2 linked regions of the Callithrix jacchus genome follow. The protein of the gene in region 1 interacts with the protein of each later gene in a pairwise test. Links are inferred from orthologs where the notes say so. Each region holds a gene or a part of one and is shown on either strand. Other genes may lie near its edges. The genes, in order: TRIM38 and RFC5.

The links.
Region 2: the proteins of TRIM38 (region 1) and RFC5 interact in binary tests that used the Homo sapiens proteins (3 or more experiments, as listed by UniProt). The link is inferred for Callithrix jacchus from reciprocal best matches to the Homo sapiens genes TRIM38 and RFC5.

What each region holds. Positions count from the first base shown.
Region 1 is NC_133505.1:4,708,840-4,712,191, reverse strand, and holds the end of TRIM38 (E3 ubiquitin-protein ligase TRIM38), read left to right. Parts: intron 1-1,187; coding exon 1,188-1,711; 3' UTR 1,712-2,838; downstream 2,839-3,352. UniProt on the Homo sapiens protein: E3 ubiquitin-protein and E3 SUMO-protein ligase that acts as a regulator of innate immunity. Acts as a negative regulator of type I interferon IFN-beta production by catalyzing 'Lys-48'-linked polyubiquitination of AZI2/NAP1, leading to its degradation.
Region 2 is NC_133510.1:121,075,673-121,079,491, forward strand, and holds part of RFC5 (replication factor C subunit 5), read left to right. Parts: intron 1-464; coding exon 465-601; intron 602-2,160; coding exon 2,161-2,240; intron 2,241-3,515; coding exon 3,516-3,589; intron 3,590-3,819. UniProt on the Homo sapiens protein: Subunit of the replication factor C (RFC) complex which acts during elongation of primed DNA templates by DNA polymerases delta and epsilon, and is necessary for ATP-dependent loading of proliferating cell nuclear antigen (PCNA) onto primed DNA.

The sequences.
Region 1 (3,352 bases):
CAGCCTACCTGGGCACAGAGCAAGACAGGAAGGTGAGGGAATAATCTGGAAGAATAAACAGCGTCCAGCACAGGAGAGTTTTTGAACTTGAATTCCTTTATTGTCGTGGACCAGCTGATCAGTGTTTAAGCCAGTAGCACAGTGGCTTCTTCACCTTCTGGTTAGAACATCCTATTACCATTATTTATTTTTAAAACTGCATACTGTCCAGTATCTCACTTTAGGTTATCAGATTTTTTTTCTGCCTTGTTTGACTCTAGTCTGATACTTTTCATGTGTATTGATCCTCAGTGTATTGTCACCTCATGCTAATCTGTATGGAACGTTATCTGAGGGGAAAGAGAAGAGCTTATAATTAAAAGTCATGGAACTAGGCGTGTGTCCTGAGACCTGGGTCTTCCAATAACAAGCTAAGACATTAGCTGAGTCATTTTCCTTCCCTGAGTCTCAGTGTTGGTGGTTATTCAGTAGAGAAGGGAAAAGCTATCTTTATGCTCAGCTGTTTCATGATTCCTGGAAGTCTTGCATGGGAGAAGAACTTCAGACAGGATGGTGACCATATTAACTGATTAGTTCTGTACCTTGACTAAGACAAAGATGATGCTGATGACATTATTATCACTACCACTTATTAGGTGCTTACCGTGTATCAGGAATTTTACTGTGTGTTAAGTAAACATAGCATATTCAATAACACCCACGTTTCTTTGCAACAAATATGATAATTTCCACTTTATAATTAACAAAACTGAGGCTCAGAGAGTTAAATGACTTGCCTAAGCTCACGCGGTTTATAAGAAACAATACTTGGGTTTGAACACAGGCTAGTTTTATTGAAAGTAACTTGTGGCTCAGCATGGTTGCTCACACCTGTGTAATCCCAGCACTTTGGGAAGCCAAGGAGGGTGGATCACCTGAGGTCAGGAGTTCAAGACCAGCCTGGCCAACATGGCGAAACCCCACCTCTACTAAAAATATAAAAATTAGCCACTTGTGGTGGTGCAAACACTCAATTACTCAGAAGACTGAGGCGGCAGAATTGCCTGAACCCGGGAGGCAGAGGTTGCAGTGAGCCAAGATAGTGTACGACTCGGTCTCAAAAAAATAAATAAATAAATAAATAAAATACAATAACTTATGTTCTTTGCACCAACGAAAGTGGTTTTGTGTTTGTTTTGTTTTTGCAGTCAGTGTGACTCTGGATCCAGATACAGCTCATCATGAACTAATTCTGTCTGAAGATCGGAGACAAGTGACTCGAGGATACCCCCAGCAGAATCAGGACACTTCTTCCAGGAGATTTAGTGCCTTGCCCTGTGTCTTGGGTTGTGAAGGCTTCACCTCAGGAAGATGCTACTTTGAAGTGGATGTTGGAGAAGGAACTGGGTGGGATTTAGGAGTTTGTGTGGAAAATGTGCAGAGGGGCACTGGCATGAAGCAAGAGCCTCAGTTTGGATTCTGGACCCTAAGGCTGTGCAAAAAGAAAGGTTATGTAGCGCTAACTTCTCCCCCAACTTCCCTTCTTCTGCCTGAGCAGCCCCTGGTTGTGGGAGTTTTTCTGGACTGTGAGGCCGGAGTTGTATCCTTTTACAACGGGACTACTGGCTGCCACATCTTCACCTTCCCAAAGGCTTCCTTCTCTGATACTCTCCGGCCCTATTTCCAGGTTTATCATTATTCTCCTTTATTTCTGCCTCCCCTAGATGATTAAGGAAAAAAGCAGAGGCTCTTTCATTTAACCAGCCCAAAGAAAATAATGTAAATCACATAAGGGCAGAAAATTTGGTCTGTTTTCTTCACTGCCATTTCCTCAGTTCTCAGAATAGTTCTGGGATTTTAGTGGATATATAATTAATTTACGCTGAATAAATGGAGTTAGAAACTAAAAATACCGCATTTGGTTGACCTGCACTGGGACAAAGCAAGGTAGTGGTGATGATCATACGTTGCTCTATCTGTCTTTGAGGGATCAGGGCTTTGATTTCCAAGGTCTTCAGGTGATGAGTGAGGGGACCCGCAAGTCGGAGTGTCTGTGTTCTCCTAGTTCATTTCCTATCATTTGAACTCGGGGGTGATGAAAGAAAGCTGCAATTGTCTGCCAATTGCATTAAAACAAAAAGGTGGAAAATCAAAATAGCATTGACACTTCCAACCACGACAGGTTGTTTAATAATCTGAGCAGCAGTTCTGGAGGTTACCAGACCTACTGAGATCTGCCTGAGAAACAGCTGAGCAGAGTGTGAGAGAAGGGTTAAGACTAGCTTCCTGGTGTTGAATAGACAGAAGGACTGATGAAACAGAAGACAAAGTCCAGGCCTGGTGCCATGGCTCACACTTGTAATCCCAGCATTTTGGGAGGATAAGGTCACACTTGTAATCCCAGCATTTTGGGAGGATAAGGTGGGTGGATCACTTGAGGCCAGGAGTTTGAGACCAGCCTGACCAACATGGCAAATCCCCATCTCTACTAAAAATACAAAAATTAGCCAGGTGTGGTGGCAGGCGCCTGTAATCCCAGCATTTTGGGAGGATAAGGTCACACTTGTAATCCCAGCATTTTGGGAGGATAAGGTGGGTGGATCACTTGAGGCCAGGAGTTTGAGACCAGCCTGACCAACATGGCAAATCCCCATCTCTACTAAAAATACAAAAATTAGCCAGGTGTGGTGGCAGGCGCCTGTAATCCCAGCTACTCGGGAGGCTGGAGGCATGAGAATCTCTTGAACTTGCGAGGCCAAGGCTGCAGCCAAGGTCATGCCACTGTACTCCAGTGTGGGGGACAGAGCGAGACTCTGTCTAAAAAAACAAATAAAATAATAAAATACAACCTAAAACCTAGCAGTCTCAACCCTGTGATTCTATTCAATGGCACCAAGTTCAGAAGTGGTAACTGGAAACATCCAAACTTATCAAAAAGAAATGGGTCAATAACTTATGCTACTCCATATGAAGGATTTCTTTTTCTTTAATGACAGAGTTTTAGAAAAGTCTCGGCAGAAGTGTATATAACTACATTGTAAAAAATTTTTATTATTTTTGTTTTGAGACTGGATCTCACTTTGTTACTCAGGCTTGAGTGCAGTGGCACAATCTCTGCTCACTGCAGCCTCTACCTCCTGGATTCCAATCATCCTCCCACTTTAGCCTCCCAAGGAGCTGGGACTACAGGTACATGCCACTGGGCCTGGCTAATTTTTGTATTTTTTTGTAAAGACAGGGTTTCACCATGTTGCCTTGGCTGGTCTCAAACTCCTGAGCTCAAGCAATCTGCCCACCCAGCTTCCCAAAGTGCTGGGGATTACAGGTGTGAGCCACTTCACCCAGCCTTTGTTTTTTAAATTAATACTCTTAA
Region 2 (3,819 bases), on another chromosome or scaffold:
TCCTGGTTGAAGGATCTGTATAAATTTCTTGGTGGTGATGTCTCTCCTAAGTAATAACTTCAGAGAATCTGATTGAGCTTAATAGAATGTGGCTTTAAGATTGTTCATTCATTTTCTTCAGGTAGCTACAGTCTAGTGGGTAAGTCATAAACATGAGCATAAAATTGCAACACAGTAGAGTAAAAATAGCATTACAGAGAATCATTTAAGTTCAAAGATGTTGCCAGCACCCAGAAAAGTGCCTGTAACACAGTAGGCACTCAGTAAATACTTGACTGGCTGCATTACTGAGTGAATTCCAATTGCACCAGGAATACAGAGACAAGGCCCCTACGTCAAGTTGTATCTGCCTCTGATTTAGACATTGAATTGGGTTGAAGAGCTTTCAGCCCAACTCAGGGACCTGGCGTGAATGAGGCAGCTCCCAAACACTGATGGTGCCCTCCTTTCTTCCCAATCCTCAGTTCAGAAATTTATCAGTGAAGACCGACTGCCACACTTGCTTCTCTATGGCCCCCCAGGGACAGGCAAGACATCCACCATCCTAGCCTGTGCGAAGCAGCTATATAAAGACAAAGAATTTGGCTCCATGGTCTTGGAGGTAAATAAGATTGTTCTTACTCTACATATAACTTAGGACTCCAGTCTCTTAATTTCAGTTCTGCTGGTTTTATTTTACTTTAAAAGTGAGTTGCCCCACAGGCAGTTAGGAAAGAAAGAAATTTGAAATAAGATGTTTTAATTCACTTTTTTCTGTAATGGCCATTTTGGTCTGGATTCGCTTTGGTCAGCTAGAGGGCAGTTGTGGGGCTAAGCACTTTTTCTTTGCTGTTGCCAACCTCTACCCAAACCCTGCTTATGGTTACTTGGTTGTTGCCTGCCCGCCATGGCCCCTCCGGATCAATTCTCCACCCTATTCTTGCCCAGAAGGCTGAGCTCTACCGACTAGAAGCTCACTTACCCTCTGGCTCCTGGTTGGGATTGGTCAAGAGGGGCCCTGGCAGGGATAGGGAAGGAAGTGAGTGATGCCTGGACCTTCTCTGGGGGCTGACACCACCGGCAGCATGGCCCACCTGTAGGGTACATCTCACAGGTGGTACCTGTCCGGTAGCCCTCTCCAGTTGCCTAGAGCCACTCCCTTCACTAACCCCTTCAGGCCCAAAGGCGACAGGGATCACATAGCCCCGTGATTTTCCCATATCACATCTTTTAAAAGATCTTTTAAAAGATCTCCTGGGCTGGGTGTAGTGACTCACACCTGTAATCCCAACACTTTGGGAGGCTGAGGCGAGTGGATTGCCTGAGGTCAGGAATTCGAGACCACCCTGGCCGACATGGCAAAACCCCATCTCTAATTTAAAAATATATTAAAAATTAGCCAGGCGACTTTGGGAGACCAAGGTGGGTGGATCACCTGAGGTCAGGAGTTCAAGACCAGCCTGGCTATCATGGTGAATGCCCATCTTAACATTAAAAAATTAAAAAAAATTTTTTAAAGAAAAAAAAAATTAGCCAGGCAAGGTGGCAGACACCTGTAATCCCAGCTACTCAGGAAGCTGAGGAAGAAGAATCGCTGGAACCTAGGAGGCAAGTGTTGCAGTGAGCTGAGATCGTGCCATTGCATTGCAGCCTGGGTAACGAGTGAAACTCCGTCTCAAAAAAAAAAAAATAGATCTCCTTGTTTAGTTCTCTGCAAATTGCTGAGTATGCCATCTGTATATTGCTGAGACCTTGACTAATATACTTAGATTCAAAAAGCTGAGTATTGTCTGTTGCAAGAAAAGAATGTTTATCTTACTTTTTAGACGTGGGTGTCAGAACTTTGCTGCTACTAATGTCCTTATTTCGGTTTAGTAAGCACTTGGTAACCTTGGGATTGTGGTAGTTAAGTTTGGATCATTCTGCTCATACCAGAGGTGCTGCTCAGTGTAACCATACCCAGTAATTATTTCTCCAGTTTATGTAAGAGTCCGTGTCCTCAAAGGGCGGGGATAATAAAGACATCTGCCTTTCGGAATGTAAGGTAATGAGTAGTGAGTTTTGTTAGACATAGAGAGCTAGTCCGCTGAGCTGGACTAATGAAGAGATGCACTGAAGCCCAGAACTCGTGGATAGCACAGCAGCATGCTTTGTGTTTTGACTTTTGTCTTATGCATTTAGCTGAACGCTTCAGATGACAGAGGAATAGACATCGTTCGAGGACCAATCCTGAGCTTTGCTAGCACAAGGACAATATTTAAGTAAGAATTATTTATATCATTTCTCTCCCTTGATGTTGATTAGTAAGATGATATGGTTTAATTTTTTAATCCTTTCCTTTGCCAGTTTATATGGGTTGAAAAAAAGTGACTTTGTTGAAAGCAGCCATGGAAAAGGGATAACAGGGTTGGTAGTAAGAAGCGTTATAATGCAACTATTAAAAGAAATGTTATCTCCATCTGTATATACCTGTATTACAGGTATACATTTTTTGTTGTTTGTTTGTTTGTTTGTTTGTTTGTGGAGACAGGGTCTCGCTCTATCGCCCAGGCTGGAGTGCAGGAGCATGATCTCAGCTCACTGCAACCTCCCACGCTCAAACGATCCTCCAGCCTCAGCCTCCCAAGTAGCTGGGAATACAGGCACAAGCCATCATGTCCAACTAATTTTTGTATTTTTTAGTAGACATGGGGTGTCCCCATGTTGCCTAGGCTGGTCTAGAACTCCTGAGCTCAAGCAGTCTGCCTGCCACAGCCTCCCAAAGTGCTGGGATTACAGGCGTGAGCCCAGCCTGTATTACCAAGTTCTTTAGGGAAAGATTACCTTCATTTTTAGTTCCTGGGAGCTGGTTAGATTACCCTAAGACTGGATGAGCTAGTTTGAATTTAAACAAAACTAAATTGAGATCAGGAAGGATAAGTAGGATGGTGGCTAAAAAAAAGAAAGAAAGAAAAAGGGTGAGGGCCAGGCACAGTGTCTCATGCCTATAATCCTAGGACTTTGGGAGGTCTAGGCAGTTGGATCAGCTGAGGTCACGAGTTCAAGACCAGCCTAGTCAACATAGTAAAACCTTGTCTCTACTGAAAATACAAAAATTATCTGTGCATGGTGGCAGGCACCTGTAATCCCAGCTACCCAGGAGGCAGAGGTTGCAGTGAGCTGAGATCACAGCCTGGGCAACAGAGGAAAAACTCTGTCTCAAACAAAAAGAAAAAGGGTGAGAAGACTGAGACCTGAGTGAAGGAGATGGAGAAAGCAGTTGGCATGATAGGGTACTCTGTGGAAGGAAGGCGAAGGTGCCAGAGGACACAGCACATAGAAGCAAAGAAATCCATCCTCAGTTCCCACCAAGGGTTGAAAGAGTGATGGATCATTTCCTCTCTGAGTGGCCAAAGATGTTTGCCTTGGTCAAAGTTCTAGAAGAAATAGCCTTTCTGAGAGAGGGCCTGATGGCACCAATGGGAAGATGCAGGTTTGGGTTCAGATATTGAGGTGAGATTGAAGACATCTTTAGACAGCACCATTTGTTTTTCTAGGAAAGGCTTTAAGCTGGTGATCTTGGATGAAGCAGATGCCATGACTCAGGACGCCCAGAATGCCTTGAGAAGAGGTAAGCGGAGCCACTGTGTAGCATGTGGGCTGCAGAGCACACTGGAAGGAGAATTGGGAACTTTGTTTCTTCTTGTTGTTGCTGTTCTGTTGTTTTTCCCTCTGTCTCCCAGACTGGAGTGCAGTGGCCGAATCTTGGCTCACTGCAACCTCCGCCTCCCAGGTTCAGGCAATTCTCCAACCTCAGCCTCTCAGGTGGCTGAGATTACAGGCATGTGCCACCCAGCAAAT